Linked DNA regions of Lepisosteus oculatus. The protein of the gene in region 2 interacts with the protein of the main gene of each other region in a pairwise test. Links are inferred from orthologs where the notes say so. Each region holds a gene or a part of one and is shown on either strand. Other genes may lie near its edges.

Region 1 (10,561 bases), on a different chromosome or scaffold from region 2:
CGTCCTCACCGTCCACTGTGAGTGACCCTTCTTCACTGCTGGCAAAGCATTCGAGCAGGAAAAAGTCTGACCAGAGACAGAGCCTGCGGCTCACAGCACAGCTCTGGTCACTCTGCTGCCGGAAAGACACTGCAGCTCCACAGTCCCACACATTCCTGAGCTTCAAGTCCCACAGTGCCAGGCTGAAGGACTGGGCCTTTCTAGTCTTGAACAGAGCAAACCAAGAGGGGACCGCAAAGGCACTGAAGTCCATCCTGCGGGTGTCCTCAGAACCAGCAGTGAAACTCCAACATCTGAAAAGTACTTGGAGGAGAATTTTAAACTGAGAACTGGCAGTGCTTTACACAAAGGGTTGTGAGGGTCTGGAGCAAGCTGGGATAAACTACACTGGCTAGTTCAGCTATTTGGTCTCACCAGTCGTTCCTCCTTTGCTCCTGCTCAGTGTGCTGCAGTAGGTGTGACCTGGTGCTCAGTAACAGTGAACCAGGACCTGCAGAGAACAATAGCCAAAGGATTTCACACACAGGAGGGGACCCCCTGCAGGACTGGGGAGTCACTCTGAGCCTCACTGTGGGCACTGCCAGGAGGAGTGATACCCTCTCAGGAGGAGTGGGGTACCAGGAGGAGTGATACCCCACTGGGGCCCTGCCAGGAGGAGGCTGGGCAATGCTGTCTTTCTGACGAAACACAGAGATACAGATCTCTGCTCTGTGTCGGATGGAGTTTTGAAACTCTTCCTTTAACGAAGTCACTTTTGCAATACAAGCCACACAGGCAGGCAGGCTACACCACCTGCTCACCCATCTCACACAGTCAATAGTGACTTAAGTTAAAACTTAAAAACAGAACAGAGAACAGAGCCCCCCGCCCCCAGCGCCGCTCGAGAACAGAGCCCCCCACCCCCAGCGCCGCTCGAGAACAGAGCCCCCGCCCCCAGCGCCGCTCGAGAACAGAGCCCCCGCCCCCAGCGCCGCTCCAGAACAGAGCCCCCCGCCCCAGCGCCGCTCGAGAACAGAGCCCCCCTCCCCCAGCGCCGCTCGAGAACAGAGCCCCCCTCCCCCAGCGCCGCTCCAGAACAGAGCCCCCCGCCCCAGCGCCGCTCGAGAACAGAGCCCCCGCCCCCAGCGCCGCTCGAGAACAGAGCCCCCCTCCCCCAGCGCCGCTCGAGAACAGAGCCCCCCTCCCCCAGCGCCGCTCCAGAACAGAGCCCCCCTCCCCCAGCGCCGCTCCAGAACAGAGCCCCCCGCCCCAGCGCCGCTCGAGAACAGAGCCCCCCTCCCCCAGCGCCGCTCCAGAACAGAGCCCCCCGCCCCAGCGCCGCTCGAGAACAGAGCCCCCGCCCCCAGCGCCGCTCGAGAACAGAGCCCCCCTCCCCCAGCGCCGCTCGAGAACAGAGCCCCCCTCCCCCAGCGCCGCTCGAGAACAGAGCCCCCCTCCCCCAGCGCCGCTCCAGAACAGAGCCCCCCTCCCCCAGCGCCGCTCCAGAACAGAGCCCCCCGCCCCAGCGCCGCTCCAGAACAGAGCCCCCCGCCCCAGCGCCGCTCCAGAACAGAGCCCCTGCCCCAGCGCCGCTCGAGAACAGAGCCCCCCGCCCCCAGCGCCGCTCCAGAACAGAGCCCCCCGCCCCAGCGCCGCTCCAGAACAGAGCCCCCCGCCCCAACGCCGCTCGAGAACAGAGCCCCCCGCCCCAGCGCCGCTCGAGAACAGAGCCCCCTCCCCCCAGCGCCGCTCCAGAACAGATCCCCCTGAGTCCAGCGCCGTTCTAGTGCCACTCGAGAACAGGGTCCGGGTCCGAGAATGTCAGCTCTGGCTGCTTCCATACCACAGTCCACCAGTATTTTCCACACTCATCAGCACACGCTCATCTCAGTGCTGTGACTTCCTGCTGCACACAACAAAGCCCTTAATTACAGGTCTGATTACTAATTGCTGGTCTGGCACCAGTAGCAAGGTTTTGTCATAACACACCAGCACTCTTACAGACACAGACACACTGCTCAGCTGTCACAATCTTCAGGAGGTCTGCGCAGCTGGGCAGGTCTGCAGAACAGCCGCGCTCACGCCCTGCGCAGCTGGGCAGCTGTACACAGCCATTGCTAAATTAAAACCAGCATGTAAGGCCACTGAGAATAAGCATCAGCCTTCTGCATCAGGCCCTGCATGGAATCACAGATCAAATTACACTAGAGGCAGCAGTCTTGTGCACTTCTGTACTCAAAGAGTGGTGGGAGTCTGGAACAAGTTACCCAACCCTGCTGCTGGAGATGATTCTCTGACATCCTTCAAGAAATGGCTGGATGAGATCCTGCTGCACAGGCCAGATGGGCCGAATGGCTCGTTTCTCAGTGCTTTATAAATCCGAGAGCCGGTGGCAATCCTTCAACTCCTGTGGTCCTGAGAGCTGGCTCACAAACACACCTTGAAGTCAGTCAGTCTCTCTGGTGCGGCTGGACTGCACCCAGCCCCGCTCCTCAGGGGTGCAGGAGGGGAGACGCCTGGTCCTCCTCGGCTGGGCTCTGGTCAGAGCACACTTCTCCATGCACGCCACAGCCTGTGGCCTTGTTCCCAGTAGCGCCTTGAGCTTCTGCACAGCTCTTCGCTCTAAAGCCAGTCCCAGCACGGCCCAGGCAGAGCAGACGAGCTGACCGGACCAGATCCCAGCACCGCATGCAGAGGGGACGACCTGACCGGACCAGATCCCAGCACCGCGTGGAGAGGGGACGAGCTGACCGGACCAGATCCCAGCACTGCCCAGGCAGAGGGGACGAGCTGACTGGACCAGATCCCGGCACTGCCCAGGCAGAGGGGACAAGCTGTCCAGGTGGGATGGAGGCTGAGGAGCTGAACTCCTCAGATGCTGGGTGAAGGTCAACAAGGCTCCGACAGCTCAGGAGAGGGGCTTTGGAGCGCCAGGAGTCAGGCGGGATTCCCCGAGGCCTTTCCTGCACAGCAGCGCAGCTCTCCCACTCCCACTCACGCCTGTCGAGCAAGGGATACTGGACAGAACCAGAGGGGCCCAGGAGAGCGAAGGGCGGCGCTGAGGGGTTGCTTGCCGATGAGCCCCTGCGCTGCTCTGTCCGTCCTGGTTCACTGTGTCCTCAGGCACTGGGACAGACCCCCAGAGACGGCGCACGGGGCCACCTCACAGCAGCTGGATCGCCGCACTGGCCAGCAGGGGTCTGCTGCCCAAGACCCCCTCCACTCCAGGTGACAGCCCACGCCCCCGTCACTACTGAGGCGCAAGAGCAATCCTGACAGGACAGAGGGCTAAACAGACTGCTCTCGCAAGCGGTGCGCGCAGCCTGGCGGCCCGGCCCGGCCGGGAGACAGCGGCCGCATGCCTCTGCCCCCGCCAGCCGTGTTGTGTCAACACCGCCATCGCTACACGCGCGACGCGACATCGAGATCGGGTTACGGGCGACAATATTCATCTGCTGCGAGCTCTGCGGCGGCATCAGGGTCCGACTCTGCCTGCCCGGGCACCACAGGGGAGTGAGAGGGGGGCGGGGGCGAGAACTGTCCGGGAGAAGAGAGCTGAACCCCTTCCTTCCCCCCGACCCCACAGCTCGCGACCCTCCCCACGCACGCTTCCATCTTTCTCCTCGCGACGCTCCCCACGCACGCATCCATCCCTCTGCTCGCAAATCGACTCCCCCTCCTCCTCCCCGGCGATAACAAAGCGCCGCTGTGCTCACCGCAGGTCTCCAGCGCCGGTCTGGTTACAGTGTGTCCGCGCTGCGGAGCCCAGCTCCGGCCCTCCCTCCCTCTCTCTCAGCCTCCCTCCCTGCCTCCCAGCTAATACCGGGAATGTGATTCTCCAGACAACAGAATTGGGTGCGTTCCCTGCGCGCAAGGACCGGAGTTACATAAACCCGCTCTCGTCCTGCGCGTCAGCGAGTCCCCGGAGAGAAGCCAAACCACAGAGCAGGATCATATTGGGGTTTGTTTTTTAAAAAGAAACACCCAACTTACCGCTCTCGCCCCAGAAATTCAGGCTGGCTTCCCTGCTCTTCCCCCGGATCGCTCCTCTCTCCCCAGCCCCTCTCTCCACACCCCAGCGCGACTGGGGTCGGGGATCACGCCGTACACCACGGGGGCGAGCTGGGGGGCTCTTAACGGTGCCTCAACCCCGGGAGTCCAGTCTCCGGCCGCCGCGGGCTTCTGTCCTGTTCTGCGTGTGATTGTAATTCCTGCTTGCTGTATCCGGGAAAGCCAGTCGCAGCTCCTACTCCGCCATGTTGCGTCCCTGTGTCGGGAATGGGGGCCAGTGGATCCCCGGCCCCTCCTCCGCCGAGCCGCTGCGGAACACCGGCGCCCCCTGCTGGGAAATATGAGCAATGAGCCGCTGAGCGACGACAAAAAAAAGTACATGGAGTTCCCTCCGTTCCAACGCACGTTTCATACAGGAGGGGCTGCGCTTCAGAGGGTGAGACACACGGTGGCCATTCTGCACCTGCAGCCCAACCTGGGAGACACACAGGGATCATTCTGCACAAGCAGCCCCACCTGGGAGACACACAGCGGCCATTCTGCACCAGCAGCCCCACCTGGGAGACACACAGGGATCATTCTGCACCAGCAGCCCCACCTGGGAGACACACAGCGGCCATTCTGCACCAGCAGCCCCACCTGGGAGACACACAGGGATCATTCTGCACCAGCAGCCCCACCTGGGAGACACACGGGGATCATTCTGCACCAGCAGCCCCACCTGGGAGACACACAGGGATCATTCTGCACCAGCAGCCCCACCTGAGAGACACACAGGGATCATTCTGCACCAGCAGCCCCACCTGGGAGACACACAGGGATCATTCTGCACCAGCAGCCCCACCTGAGAGACACACAGGGATCATTCTGCACCAGCAGCCCCACCTGGGAGACACACAGGGATCATTCTGCACCAGCAGCCCCACTGCACACAGCTTCAGGGAATTAGGGAGAAACTGCTGCAGCAGGTGAATTAAGAGAAACTGCAGAGAGTCAAGTCTATGCAATAGCCAACATGCAGTCACATACAGTTGGTGTACACATAGTGGGTGAACTGAAAATAGTCCCCAGACAGTCTTCGTTATCTCATTTTCTCAGTTCAGAAAGTCCACAATTATGCCCTGCAGTGTCTGGACTGGTTCTGCCTGCTGGCAGGTGATGAGGGCCAGGTGTGTTTCACTCAAAGGAGAGCTGGTCTGCGTGACGTCAAGTGCTGAGCACAGCGGGGCTGAGTCCCGGCAGGGCCCATCTCTGGGCAGTGAGCCCCTCGTCTGCAGCAGGACCTCCAGCTTGGCCTCAGGGGAGAAGACCAGCGACCTGTGTGCTGGGCAGGGTGGGAGCTGATTGGACTGTGTCAGCGTGGCTCAGACTGCAGGGACTGTTCAGCGCAGTTTGCTTTCCTCTGGTGGTAGACTGGAGACATTGCAGGCAGACTACCAGGAGAAAACACACAGATGACCAGCCCTATAATCCATAGGTATGGTACAGAGGTGACTTGCTCTAAATGCATGCTAATTACATCCCAAGTTTTTGTTCGGTCATTAAAAAGCACCTTTCACTCCACTCACGCGTGAGGCAGAGAGAGAGCCACCTGTTAATTGAAAAAGCTGCAGAACGAGGCCCAGCTGGCCTGTGTGAGTAAACAGCAGTCTGAGGGAGTGAGATTCCACTCAGGGAAGGGTGCTGTCAGGGTAGTGCAAATTCAGACCAATGAATTATAGCATTGCCAGAAATAATTAACACATTCAGGAACATTTACAACAAAAATATTACTGGATGTTTACAGATATCAAATAAAACATATTGAGCAATATTGAGAGACAGGTTTACTGTTCCTCAGGCTGGGACAGGAGATCACATACTGGGCTGCCAGATCAACTGAGTTCCCTCCTCCCTCTCCCAGTAGGATTGGGACCCGTTGTGACTCTGGCAGGTGTGGGAACTCTGGGATTAGATTTCTGAATTTCAGGAAGAATGTTTCTCTAATCCCAGAGTATCTGTCACAGTGCAGTAGGAAGTGCACCTGTCTCTACAGTGGGAGCACAGCCTGTCCTCTCTGGACAGCCAGGTCTGCCTGTGTCGCCCAGTTTCTATGGCCAGGCTGTGGTCACTGAGCCTGTACTTCATTAGGGTCTGTTTCTTTTTGCTGTTATTTAGCTTGGTCAAACATTCTGCTGGCGTTTGTTGTCTGTTTACAGTCCTGTAGCATTCCAGTCTGTGTTGTGTGTGTTAAGGTAGTGTTGTTTGGTTTGTGCTGTGTTTTGGCTGATTTTTATTAATGTTGTTTCTGTTGCACTGTCAGAAGGTTAGTAAGTGTCAGTGAGCTTCAGGACCAGCTGGCTGAGGGGATCTTAACTGGGCTAAGCAGGGCCTGTGGTGGTAGGAGCTCAGGTCACTACTTTTTAGGTGAAACCAATATTTTATTGTTTTTATGTCAATTCATTAACAATGGCCATTGTCCTAAATTGGTCCTGCATGCATCATTAGGTGGTTTCTCTGTTTTTACAGAGCTCTGTGTGCGGGGCTTTTATATGGTGTTGGTCCCATTTAGTGCAATCCTAGTCCTGTGAGGAGACCCCACACTTCACTCTCTCTGACAATACACTCCTTCTTCATTAGTCACCTGGCACTTCAGAGTTCAACCCAGTTATCTGTCACCTCCAGTTCTCAGTCTTCACCAGCTTTCACTCCACACTGAAACTTCCAGGTGAATCCTGATTCTTTATTCTTTAGTTATCTGGGTCACGTTTGTCTCCAGTGGGGATTCAGTCCTTGAATCCAGACACTACAAGATTGAAGAGTTCGAACGTTATATTCAGTGCTAAACAAGTTGGCTTCCCAGTTGTAGCATTCTAGTTGGAGTAGAAGATGTTTTCGACTGAGTGGGATTGTTTTACTCCATCTCTGTTCTGCAAAGGATGAACCTCGGCTCTAAATTCTTCAATATGATCCGTTTGCCACGATACACCAATGTCCAGTTGCAGCAGTCAGACCGATTCAGGTGTGTCACCTTGTCAGGAGCACCTGGACAGGTTGGTCCCTTGTCTCCTCTGCTTCTGGCCCTGGCGGCTGAGCCCCTAGCAAGCGCGATCAGGTCTCACTGCACCATTCATGGCCTTGGAGCCGGTGGATCCCCACGTGTGATCTCACAATATGCGGATGCCGCAATGATATACTTTATTAATTTCAGCTCCTCCTTGCCAGTTCTGTCCATTTCTTGGGAGCAATATGGATTGGCCTCACGCCAGTCCTCCCTTCGTCTGGATCCCAGAGAATATTCTGGAGTTACTAAGCAAGCCGACAACGGCCTGGTATTTCTCTCCAGATGACATCCCACGCTGGAAAAGCTGAAGCTGTGACTGCAGACAGCGAAGTGGAAATATCTGCCTGTATCACTGCTTGGCCGGGCAAACTGTGCCAGGTTGTATGTACTGTACTGTACTGCCAAACGTTTTATACCTTTTCACACTCCCAATATCACACCAAACAGATTTTTTTAACAACAGACTCAGCAGGCTAGTATCCAGATGTAAATGGAATGGAGAAACATTTAGGATTAAGGTGCCCCATTTATCCCGCTGTCTAATCTGCTGGAGAAGTAGGCCAAGCCTTTCATTGAACACCTGCAGGCTGTGGTTGTTGACAGGAAAAAGTCACTTCAGTGCACCCAAACTAAATCTATTTTACCCCCCTCTCTTCTGCCTGCATTGAAGGGAGGAATAAAGCAACTGTACTATAATATTGCTGTTCAGACAACCGACAGCCTGTGTGAAGAGAGTGTACGTCTGTCTTCTGGGAACGTTTAAAATGACTTTAATACGACTCCCAACCAATACTTCTTGAAGTCTTTAGGTGCGTAGTGAGGAGACGTGGAGTGATATTAGTGTTGTCAGGAGCTAGGTGAAGATTCCGATCAAACAGCAACAAAGTTAAATCTTAATCACTTAAATCACTTGGTGTTTTGGGTGTCAGTCCGACCTGAGTCTGTTCAGACATTGATGATCTACTGAGATCCTGAGCCACCGCACCGGCCCCCTTTCAGCTTCCAAGCCATGTTTGCTCTCCTGTGTTTCTTCACCGTTTGTTCTGTGTCATTCTCAAGTATAATGTTCTCATCATGCAGACACCTGCGTCAGCTCTGCAACCCAGGGCTCCTGGCTGCACCCCCTCCTGAGCCCTGCTGGGTGAAACTTCCACCCGAGAGCAGACCCTTCACACGGGCCTCCAGGAAGTCCAGATACATCCCCCACCTTCTACTGACTTTCACACTCACACTCATGCTTGTCTGCAATCAAGCCGGATCCATCATTCAGGATCCCAGCCATCCCGGCCACAGACTGTTCTCCCCCTGGGCTCTGGCGAGCGGTACCACACTGTTAAAGCACGGCCCACCAGACTCAACAACAGCTTCTGTCCCACCACTGTGCGCATCCTCACCAGCTAACTGCAGGGCCTCAGACTCAATACACAGATGCACTCCACAGTTTTTGCATGCTCTACTATGTTTATTTTTGTCTCACTACTACATATTCATTGTTCCTGCTGTCTACATTGTGTGGTGTTGTCTGTTGTACTGTTTATGTCCCGAAAGATCAGCGTGATGAAGAACTCCAATGCACGTGTACAATTGGCAGTAAATTCTTCTGCTCTACTCAGTGAAATGCAGATATTTCTCTCTGCTGTACGAGTCCCTCTCTCTCTTCTCACTCCCCCTTGACCCTGGAAGTGCAGCTTGTAAGCTCTGTTGCAATGACCTTTTGACACCAGAAGGTGGCGCTGGACACCAGCGCTTTGACGGTAGAGGTACAGAAGGAACGGGCGGACTGGCAGGACGCTGTTACCTTCCCTTCTCCAGAGGTCTCTCCAGCTCAGGGGCAGCAGCCCCGGGGCAGTGGGCTGTAAACACAGAGCAGAAGGTATGTGTACAGGTGTGCCCTCAGGACCTGGGGGAGTTGAGCAGAGTTTGCAGTTCCTGTTGTCATGGCATCGCTGAGGGCCTCCCTGACTCAGCGTAATCGAGTGAGGATCCCCTGGGCGTGGATCACCCGCTAGTCACAGGAGTGATCGGAGCAAAGTACTGTAGTAAAGCACTTCCCTGCTGCTCTGAGCGCCTCGGTCCCAGTGTGTCAGGTGTCTGTCTGCATCCCCCTCTGCTGACGGTGTGTCCCTGCTTGCCCCCTGCCCCCTACCTGCCCCCCACCTACCCCCTGCGCATCCCCTTCCTGCCCCCTGCCACCTACCTGCCCCAGCCCCCTGCTCATCCCCTTCCTGCCCCCTACCTGCCCCCTACCTGCCCTCTGTCTGCTCCCTGCCTGCCCCCTGCCCCTTACCTACCCACTGCCCCCTGCCTGCTCCCTGCCCGCCCCCTACTCGCCCCCTGCCCGCCCCCCGAGGGAGAGGAGGGGGCTGGACTCTCTGCAGCATTACCAGACGCGGTGTGTACTGCCGATCTCTGCAGCCTCTCTCTCTCAGCGCGTCTGTGTGTCAGTGGTTTTCAGGAACCAAGCCCAGGTCACACACGCCACACATACTGGTTTCCTCATTAGCACGAGGCGAACACAGGCAGCTTGACAGCGACAGAGCCACCGGAGAGACAGCCTGGAGCTCAGGAGTGCTGGGGAGTGAGACAGCACTGGAGTTCAGGGGTGCAGGAGTGACCGAGAGAGTGAGACAGCACTGGAGCTCAGGAGTGCAGGAGTGGAGAGAGTGAGACAGCACTGGAGTTCAGGAGTGCAGGAGTGGAGAGAGTGAGACAGCACTGGAACTCAGGAGTGCTGGGGAGTGACAGCGAGAGAGTGAGACAGAACTGGAGCTCAGGAGGGCAGGAGTGGAGAAAGTGAGACAGCACTGGAGCTCAGGAGTGCTGGGGAGTGAAGGCAAGAGAGTGAGACAGCACTGGAGCTCAGGAGTGCTGGGGAGTGACAGTGAGAGGGTGAGACAGCACTGGAGGTCAGGAGTGCTAGGCAGTAACAGCAGCAGCAGAGATGGCTCCCTGGACCCTCACTACCAAGGAGAAATATGGAGTGGGTAAGTGGCCAGCTTCCCTGCAACTCGCCCTCCTCTCTCTCTTTCACTTCACTGCAGCTGAAAGGTGTTGTGTTACAGGAACAGATACAATTGATTTTTAAAGAAGTAAAACTGATGGATAAGTCACATGTTGCGAAGCTTTCTGAACTGACTGTTAGAGTTATAGCTTCTCCCCCTGTCCACAGGGCTGGCGGGGCTGCAGGGCAGTTATACAGTAGATTCTCCCCCTGTCCACAGGGCTGGGGGGGCTGCAGGGCAGTTATACAGTAGATTCTCCCCCTGTCCACAGGGCTGGGGGGGCTGCAAGGCAGTTATACAGTAGATTCTCCCCCTGTGCACAGGGCTGGCGGGGCTGCAGGGCAGTTATACAGTAGATTCTCCCCCTGTCCACAGGTCTGGCGGGGCTGCAGGGGCACCTGGGCTGAGTGGCCCTTCTCTGCCCCAGCGAGCAGCTGCTGCTCCAGCCTGAGCCACACAGCCCTGCTCCAATCCCTGTCAGAAAGCTACTGAGTGCGGCAGGCAGGAGTGCACAGACGCTCCTGGA
Region 2 (10,451 bases):
TTAAATAGTGCTGAGGACATGTTTCAAGGCTCCAATCAATTTATTCTATTTACCGCAAGACACAAAGAATGGACCGAGTTAATTCAGAAAAAAAAGCTTAATATTTCTAATAGCAATAAGAAACTATGTTACATTGTTTTGACCTTTTACATTTTTTGTTTACTGACAATACCAACTTAACTGTCTCTTAAACCCATCTTACAACAGGAAAAAGTTACACTACAAACTATAATATATAGTATAATATTTGCTTATGAAACACTAAACTTGCACAGGTAACCTGTGCTTCATGTAGAGAGGCATTTGGGCAGCATGTTAATTTCACAATCATAGAGTTTACCAGGAATAAACAGACAAGCTTGTGAAAATGAAACTGATTACACATTGGGATGATAAAACTTTGATGACAAATGTCAACTTAAAGGAAACATTATCATTCAATTTGATAGTAACGGCTGCCTGTTCATGTTGGCAACAGACTTGACTTTTCATTGTTTGAGCCGACACATTCAAATACCTTAAATATGCCATATCATCTCTCTAACAATAATATAAAAGTCAATTTTATTTAATAAAATAAAACAATTTCTGTAGACATAGAATGCCTTAAACTTTCTTCTGACTCCTCCTTGATAACATACTATATGCACACCTCTGTTAATTGAAAAGAAATCATATTTTATCTTTTTTGGCAGCTTTACTGTAGCTTCATAAAACACATAACAAAAAACTTAATTAAACCAAAGCACAAAAGGGTGCAAATCTGTGATGATCACAAAAGAGAAAAAGGTGTCGAACATTAGAGAGATTTTTGTGTGGATACTTAATTTAAATCTTCGTTTGTCAATCTTTTAGAAGTGGTACCTAACACAAGCAACATCCTATTTCATCAACCTACTGAAGCCACAGAGGCTCAAGGCAGCAAACAGATGCTGGAAAAGACCCTGTGTTCTTCATGTGTTCACCATGTGTTCGTCATGGGCAGGGATTCCAGTCACCAAAAAGTCACATACAAAGACTGTCAGACATCGATCTACTGAAGCCAAAGCTACCTAGAATTTCAGACTGTCCCCCACCATGAGCTTTGACCCTGCAGAGAAACAAGGGGCTTTCTTGACTGGAATGGTCTTACTCGATCTGCCATCCATCTGCCCAAACTGGCAACACAGAGCGCACTGAGACAACCCGAAACACAGACATCTCCCAACTGTTCACCAGAGAGAATTGGCCCGTGTACTCAGTAACAAACCCAAAAATCACTCTCTGCCTAGAATTTAATTTTAGAGAAAACAACACGCATTGTCATTGTTTTAACAGGTTACTTGCATGCTGTGAAATACATCTTCAGAGTCTGAAAAGACAAATGGGAGTACAGCACATGAAGGAAAATACTGTACAAAGGTTTAGAAAAGTTACCTAAAACAAAAAAACACAGTTTCTCTAGAAATTAGCTGTTTTGCTAGCCACTTGTGGAATTTATAGCAAGTAGAATCAAACTGAAGGAATGGTAGAGTTTTTTGATCATGTAAAAAGGACATCAGGTTTTAAACTTCCTCCTAATCTCATGTATAAAAAGGCACAATTTGTACTGTGTTTATATTATATAAATAACTTTCTTCATGTTTACATCACTTCAGGTCACCTCAAAAAAGAGGCACATTACCTCACCGTTCAGTTGTTATCAGAAAAGCTTTTATTCTCATAATGGAAACTCAGAGACTACCCTAGACTAGAAAAACAGGCTGCAAGGCAGGACACAATGCCAGTCCATTGAGACATTAGTTAACCGAGTCGGCTTGCATTTGAAAGGAGGAAGATGGAACACCTAGAAAAGCCACACAAAAACACAGGGCAAGCATGCAAACTCCACACAGAAGGCACCACACTCCAGACACTGAACCTACAACCCAGGACCTGCGAGGCAGCAGTGCTAACCATAACCTTATCAACTTGTCATTCAACTAAAGCATTATTCCACTGGGATTCAGGAAGGAAAACTTTGACTCCTATCTCTTCTCTATCTCAAATGACATAACACTTAAGACTCTGATAACCCTGTTTTTGAAATAGTGTTTATACAATAAAATCAAATAGACCTTGAAAGAAAGCGGTTTTAACATTATTAATACTATATTTTGCATAATATGATGCGCATTTTAAGTAAATGTTTAGTAAACTTCTGTGCTATTTCTCTTCTCTGAAAAAAAAATCCTTAAAGTACATGTTTTATCTATTTTGCACGTCGCAGGCACAAGGTTTGCGCAGTTAAGTGCTCTAGTTCATCAACAAGACTTCGAAAGAGGAATCCTGCGGGGCTGATGTCTCCACTTGGTTTTAACTAATCCTACCGATCCGAGAAACCAATATTGCCTTTAAATTTAAGAAATTCTACCACTAAAACAAATTTCCTGCATTATTTACTTTTCCTGTATATTGACTATAGAGAACTCTCAGAATTTCAAGCGGGGTTTTTTTTTTTCGGATCAGCAGACAGATGTGCCATTGACTTTATACTGGCACAGTAGCGTTTGACCTACTACTCCCCTTACTGTGGATTCTGCCAGCCTCTAACAATGAAGATCTTGTTACACTCAAAGAGTTGATGGACAATACGAAAATGATACCAATTTAAAGTTTTCAAACACAGATAAAACGTATAATTGGCATTGCATTTGCTTTTGGTGTGCTTTATCTTTTCTGAGAATTACTGTACTTTCGATTTCAGGACGAGATGACTGGGCACTCGGAACACTTCAACCTGCTGGTTTATTCGGTGGTTTGTAGTAGTCGTCGTGCCACCTATTTTATTGCGAGATATTTGTTCACGAATGATCTGGATATGTTTTGTATGACATCGTAAACAGAATGACTTTGTCTTACCCATTTTATTAAAAATGTGATTTTGAAATTGGACATGAAGGAATCTTTGTTTTATACATTGTACACTGGCACTGATGCTTGTTTGACTACTGTATATACCTGTGCGACGTCTTCTTGTAAAATACAGTAGATGATTAACTTCATTTCATATAGTTCGCTATTATTTAAGTCCGCAAATACTGAAATACTTAACGTTTCCCTTCACTTTTGCAGCATAATACTCCACAATAGCGCTTCTCCATTCCTCGATTACTAAATGACTTACAACGCAATACATTTCTCTAAAACACCATAACGTATCCATCCAGATACCACGAAATAACATTTGCCTGATCATTAAGGAACGCATTTATTCATTTAAAATAAGAATCACTCCGTAAAAAAAGTTAACATATCAGTTTTCCCTGTTGTGATTATCAGTTGCCTTGCACTTTGCGGGCATCCCATTCTTGTAGGTCTTTTGAAACTATAATAATAATAATAATAATAATAATAATAATAATAATAATAATAATAATAATAATAATAATATGTACCTCTTTATTTCCTAAGGCTTTGCACTGATGTTAATTCGATACTCATACGACAAACGCAGAACAAATTCTAGTGTAAGGTAAGAAGTAATCTGCTGTACTCCTCATTCCTGCAACAAGGAAGCACTGTACCGGTACTACAGTTTCCCACGCTGCCTCTGTATCTTGAACAAACTACAGATATACAAACGCGAACAAAGCAATACGAGATTGTTTCAAAGCTTAGTGTATTAAAACTTTACTCCCGGGTCATTAAATTACTATTAACAAACAGTTGCATGTCTTCAGGAAAGGTCTTGTACAAGTTATCTTTCTTTCACTTACCTCTCTTGTCCTGTATACTGCAACAGCCAAGAGTGAGCAAGGAAGACAGGACGATCGCAATTTCGAATTGCATTGCTGCGAGTTTTCTTGAGCTCTTCGTTTCTTCTCTTCTCCTTCAAATATGTTCTTTTTTATTCCATACTGGTACTGACAAATTTTGTGTGGTGAATAAAGCCTCTACTTTCTCCCTCTCTAGCTGTCAAAGGGAAATAGTAGGAAATTTTGGGAAGGCGTCAGCGGCGTTACTTTTCTTTCCTTAGCACAGAAACTTTGACAGCTCCTCCTTCGTTCTCCTGAATTACTTGTGGCGAGAATTGAGCCGAATAAAGTCTCTCAGCCAGCGGAGGTTCTGACGTCACCACTGGGAGGGGGATTATTGCGCTGCAGATAAATGCATTAACAGGTAAAGTAAATCCTGCCGACTGACATGATTCACAACTTCTGCTCATGTGCAGTTGTGCCAGGTATGTTCTGTGCGATGTTGAAATTCACTGCTTTCCGGTATTTCGTAATTCTCCAGCATGTACTAAGCAAGCGCTATCAGTTTCGAACTCGCGAAATTTATTATTGATCTTCAGGAATACTGTAAAACGTTATGCCGTTTGTTCACAAACATCACTTTTGTAACGGAAATGACCACTTTAGTGTGGTTTTACTTATCCGCATGTTGTGTTATTATTATTGTTATTGTTGGTGGTGAAAGTGTTGCTTCCAAATCCTTAAACAAACAATAAAACAATGGCTTCGACAAAGTCTGTGTAGAGAGGATATTACTCAAATCAACCTAGAGAGAGAGAGGTAAATTAAATAGACACCCACTGTGATTTAAACAGGCAGTTCAAGCCACATCATAATCACATAAGTGCCTGCTGTAGCAGGTTAAATGTTTAAGCCTGCAGCCATTTCACAGACAGGAAACTGATGAAAACCAGTAGATTTTTCCCCCCCAAGTTTGAACAGTAACATTTTCAACAAGCAGGAACATAACACGAGTAATGCCGTTTTCAACGATACTTTAGGATCCACTGGAATAAGGTGTAAGAAGCTGTCTGCTCTCAAATGAGTGACAAGTGTTTATGTGTTCATCCTCTGCTGTACTGTATGCTCTCCTAGTCAACAGAACAGACATTTCAAGTTATAAAATGTGGAAAGGAAAGCAAGCCTGACATTGTAGTCCAAATGTAGCAGAACGTGTGCAGGCACCCAGAGAAGACCATCTGATGTTATCTCCACAGCCTGGGTACAACAGCCGAGCAACCAGACAAAGACAGCTTCTCATTCCATGCAGTGTCATTCGTCAACTACTGTGGAAAGTGGAGGTCCTACCACACCCTCCTGTCTTCTGGAGGACTCGCATTTCTACCCCAACCCCCACTGCATTGCCCTGCCCACACACACAATCCAGGTCTTTATAGCTGTCACATAGTAGTCACACACAGGTGTGCTCATCCCAGCACAGGAGGTTTACCTGGAACTTCTGCAAGCCACCACTGAATATAGTTTCTTTACGGTATACAGTAACTTGCAGCTGGGACAAGAGATAAGAGACTAGCATACTATAGCTGGGGAAATGCAAATGAACTTCTGCATTTTTGCAGCTCTGCCATGGCATGTTCAATTACTGTACATGAACCAAGTGGGGGAACATACAGTATAGGCAATATTGGACTGATCTCTGCTGAAGCATCCCAACTTATTTAAGGCCAAGAATACAGTAGGCTGAGGTTCTGCAGACCAGAATTACCAATCCCTTTCATGACCAAATGCACACAGCAAAATACAGAACCACAAAGCATTAAAAGTATATACTGTATAGTATATATGAGAGTTCTGTATTGTGCTACACTTTCAAATATTGTTTTTAGGTTGAATCTTGATAACTCAGAAAAATGTGGTCTTGTTTGAAGTCAAGTGTGCACAACCGAATTTGAGTTCTCATTAATCTAACATGGGAAAGGTGTCAATGTTTATGCAGAATAAATAACTAGACATGGAGATTTCACTACAAAAGGTTTAATAGGTGTTATGTTTGTTACAGATTACAGCCAGGGGCACAATTGAGCATAACACATTTTTAACAAAGTATTTCTAACAGTATTTTCTACAAAACTACAGTACAACTTGGTTAGACAGAATACAGTATCAATTTAAAAATGAGGTCTCTGTGAAAGTTTTCCTTTCCTGATGCCTTTGTACCAATATGAGAAGCTAATTTCACTGCAATTGCATGCAGTTGAATCAAAATAATACTGTTTACTGCTGCCAATGAAAGAACCAGCACCATGATAATATCAATGAATTGTGAGGGCTGTTTCCTTAGGAAGCAGACAAAATTACACAAAGTAATTATTTAGAATGTATCTTCAAGAATCACTCTATTCTGATGTACTACAGTACAACATCTAATATAAGCAGTCACAGGACATTTGGTTTGGGATTTTTTTTCCTCTGGTCATTCATTCATGAAGAAATGATGTACATTATGGCATAGTTTAGGTTGTCTGCCTTACAAAAACAGAAAGAAGTCCCTTTCATTGAGCACACAGAAACATTCTAATTTTGCCATACAGTAGTACTGTAATTTGCCATAATGAAAACAAGATCCAAATGCTAACTCTGATCCTTTACATTTGCACATTTAAATTGTTCATTTAAATGTCATTTAATGACATCATCATTTAATGATGCAGTGCAGACACTTTTAACTTGCAGTATGATCCCCTTCCCCACTAAGAAGAGAACTACAAAAGGCATATTTTAATCATCCACAAAAGGAATTGTTACAATTGAAAGTAATCTACAGACGAATGAAAGAACAAGGTACAGCATGCACTGCAAAATCTGACGTCAACTACAGAGCTTTGCGTCTTTTGGAATGTTTGTATGCATATCAATGTAAATCATAGGATAGGTTAACACAGCACAAGTTGGCTTCAAGTGTGTACAGTGAACTGGGGAGGGTTATCTTGAACACACAACTGCTTTTTCAGCCCCTTAGATTTACATCTACTGTAACTTTAGTTTGCACTAGAAGGTGGAGCTGCATGTCCTTAATACAACTGATAAATATGTCCCTGAAATTAAATTGTATATAAAATTTCTGAAACAAAACACCTTTGCAGTCATTTGCAAAGGAATTTAGGCTTTTGATTTCATTTATAAGAAACTAAACAATAATGATACTAAAGCAATGATACCGTATGCACTGACTTTAGCGAAGAGAAACAAACTTGAATGAAAAAACGAGCAAATAATCATTGTTAGCAGCACATGCAAATGGCAAGGGCACCATGCTAATTAAGTAGTTATTGTTAATCCAGAGTGAAGTAAAACAATTTTATTCTTGGAATAGAATGAGACAGTCTTATTAAATTAGCTATAAAACATACATTCACAGCTAAATTGAAACTAGCAAACAATGTTTTATTATTATTATGTCAACAAAACATAGGTAGAAAATTATAATTTATATATATAAATTATAGTTTAATAAAACTTTTAACATTTAAAAAGTTTATCTTATACTGTATACTGATATACGTAATTGTATTTGACTGCTATACACTATGTACTGCAAGTATGAACTTTTCAAATCTTAAAAAAACTAAATAAGCTAAAATGTAACACTTGTAATCAATTATTAACCTTTAGGAGAGGAGCAACTTCTTTTTTATGGGTATATTTGCATACTGTATATTTATAACAATCTTCTTGATTAGTCTTCAATTTGATTTTCTTTTCACATATGGATTACTTGAGAACTGATCAAGTACTTCTTATGGTACCGCTGTATCACCTGCAAGTACACAGCCAACACCACACTCATTCAAGGCCCCTCAGGACAGTTCCGGATCACCCAGACAGCATCTTGTACCTCCAGCAACCTTATTTACTGTATCTCTTGCAGTAAATGCCCAGCCATCTACATTGGAGAAACAGGAAGGAGACTCGGAGACCGCTTCAGAGAACACATAAGGGCTGTGAAGATTAAAGATCTCTCCAAGCCCATTGTTTCTCATTTCACCTCTGACGGCCACGACCACTCTAATCTCTCCGTCTGTGTTCTCAAAGACGGTTTTCCAAACTCATACATCAGAAAGACCACCGAAACTAAAATTATTCTGCAGCTAGGATCACACATTCTCCCTTCCCTTAACGACAGACTACTGTTCTTTTAAATTTTCTCCATTCATTGGAAGTTTCATTTCACACCTCTCTGCACCCATTCTGACTTCACACCTCTTGATTGGCCTCTCTTTCTGTCCCCTGCTCCCGCCTCTCACTCCTCCTCCCTCCCAACCTTTCTTCTCCCGCTACTTTACCTTTGCCTACTGCCCTGTCTCTCTCACACCTGAAGAAGGCTCCACGGCAGAAATGTTGTGTTCTCTTTCTTCTTTTTTTCAGCATGGAATAAACCTATAACTAAGTACTTCTTATGTTTTGTTTTGCCACATTTTAAGAGCATAATTTAGTATAATTACAACTTTTAATGTTAAGTGACATTTTTAAACAACATAACAGTATTGTTCCCTTCACACACAAATACACCTTTATTTTCCCTAATTTTCAATATACTGTATCAAAAATGTCAAACTGTCTTTCATTATAAATGCATATATCACATAGAAAGGACCTCTTCAATACTAAAACAAAATTTTAACATCCATTGAACTATAAAGTACACAATACAATTCAGTTAAATTGTAATATTCACACAAGCCAGAGATATTTATTTCACTGGTGTAACTGAAATACTTTTGTACCATTTAAAAATATGTACAGTATTGTCTTTTTATCAGAAATCTTTGGACCTGGGCATTCAATCACCAGTTTGTATTTGAATTAATTTTTCAATATAAGCATGAAGTCTGTACTTATGGATAAGTAGCTTTTCCATTAATCTTTTTAAATTTCGTATTTAAATAATGACCACACAGCTACTATTAAAGCAGGAAGTATAGTTCACCTCTGGAATTACAGTAGCTATGCATACATACCACTTAAATGAACGGATTCTTAATTGTGTGACAAAAGTAATTAATTTTTAAATTAATAAAATAAATCATTCTGAAATGAATAATAAAAGATAAAATAAAGAAATGATAACCATAAAACCCCTATATTGGTGAGTCAATTCAATAACTTCAATCACAACATTGGATAACAGCTACATCCAGAGAGAAATAATTAGGAAGCCACAATCTCCCAGCTGCCCTGTCTATTTTAGTACTTTATCTACTTTGAGAACAAATTATGTTATGGCTGATATACAACCATAGAAGAAAATATATAAGTTTATATGAGCCTAATACTGAATATTTTATTGAAGTGTAATGTAAACACTTTGCCTGTTAAAACAGTTCACTATTATGTCAGGTAATGGCACGTTATTGATGTAATCATGAAACAGGTCTCTACTTGGTTGGTAACACACTATACAGCTTCAAAACAAACATGTCACCATGGAATTCACTCCATTAGCAGATACATTTTATTGGAAAGTTACCATGGAAGCAAATGCTTTGCCACTTTCTTATTTAAAAGTGTGTTCTTTTTTTAAAATCTTTATTTTAGTTTGAAATTAGGATATATTTCTATCAATACTGTATGTAACTGAATTAATTTATTTAAAGCAGTCATAAATGATCATGCTTAGACTGAGCAATGTTATTTTTTAAATGAAAAATTACAGTTAATTCCTTATATGGGTTCAATATTTTTCAAATAGGCATAGATAATTATTTCTTATTAAGTCCTTCAATATATCCTATCCTTCAATATATGTCACTCCTATGCAAGGATATATAGTACAATGTGCAAACTTTAAATCACATGTGAATATGCTACAATTTTGTAGTACTCAAGCCCAACCTCATTGAACTCATTCTGGAAGGAGCTCAAGAGGGACCAGATTCAAGTTCAAGACTCCTGGGTAACTTTCTTACCTGAGAGTCATGTTATACACAGATTAAAACGTGATGTCTCTGATTCCAAACAGGAATCTACAAGGTCCTTGAGAGAATGGCCAAAAATACTGTTAAGATAAGGTTTGAAATGTGAACCTGAGGATGTAAATGAAAGTGGAAGTGTGTGTACAGGTGGAATAAGACCAGGAAGCACCTCTTAAGGCAAAGTTTGCTGGGTATCTAGAACTGGTTTTCCCATCAGGGTATTCAAGATCATTCTTTGAGATCTTTCAAGAAATGCCCTGCTGATCAATAAACTACGGCAGGCATCCATCCATTTTCTAACTGCTTTATCCTGTCATGAACCGCATTCCTACAAGCACCTCTCGCCCCCAACACCTGCGCACTAATTAATCAATTGTCATTCCTCATGCTCTTCCCTATTTTTACCCTCTCACTCCACTCAGTCCCCACTCACTATTGAGAATAACCTTTGGCTTTCTCTTGTGTGCGTTTACTATTATCGACCTGATTTCTGGCTACCGACCTTGTTTTTTTCTCCGGCCTCGACTTCGTCTCGCGTTTTGGATTTGGATACTTACGACCTGACTCTTGTGATACCTAACCTAGATCTCCTACCTCGACTACGATTTTTGCCTTTTGCCCTTGGGATTTAGACACCAAACACTAGCTGCCTACAGTCTCAGCGCCGCATAGGGTTCAACCAGGTACTCTTAATGTCACTGTTGACATATCCAATTCAAGTTTGCGGAGGAGCCAGAGCCTATCCCTACAAGCAACATACGCA

Evidence for each region.
Region 1: the proteins of egfra (region 2) and ptpra interact in binary tests that used the Homo sapiens proteins (3 or more experiments, as listed by UniProt). The link is inferred for Lepisosteus oculatus from reciprocal best matches to the Homo sapiens genes EGFR and PTPRA.

What each region holds. Positions count from the first base shown.
Region 1 is NC_090698.1:74,842,385-74,852,945, forward strand, and holds the start of ptpra (receptor-type tyrosine-protein phosphatase alpha), read right to left. Parts: upstream 4,284-10,561; 5' UTR 3,973-4,283; intron 1-3,972. Other genes in the region: dedicator of cytokinesis protein 2-like, read left to right, coding at 9,975-10,017. UniProt on the Homo sapiens protein: Tyrosine protein phosphatase which is involved in integrin-mediated focal adhesion formation.
Region 2 is NC_090701.1:19,949,734-19,960,184, reverse strand, and holds the start of egfra (epidermal growth factor receptor), read right to left. Parts: upstream 4,169-10,451; 5' UTR 3,811-4,168; coding exon 3,738-3,810; intron 1-3,737. UniProt on the Homo sapiens protein: Receptor tyrosine kinase binding ligands of the EGF family and activating several signaling cascades to convert extracellular cues into appropriate cellular responses.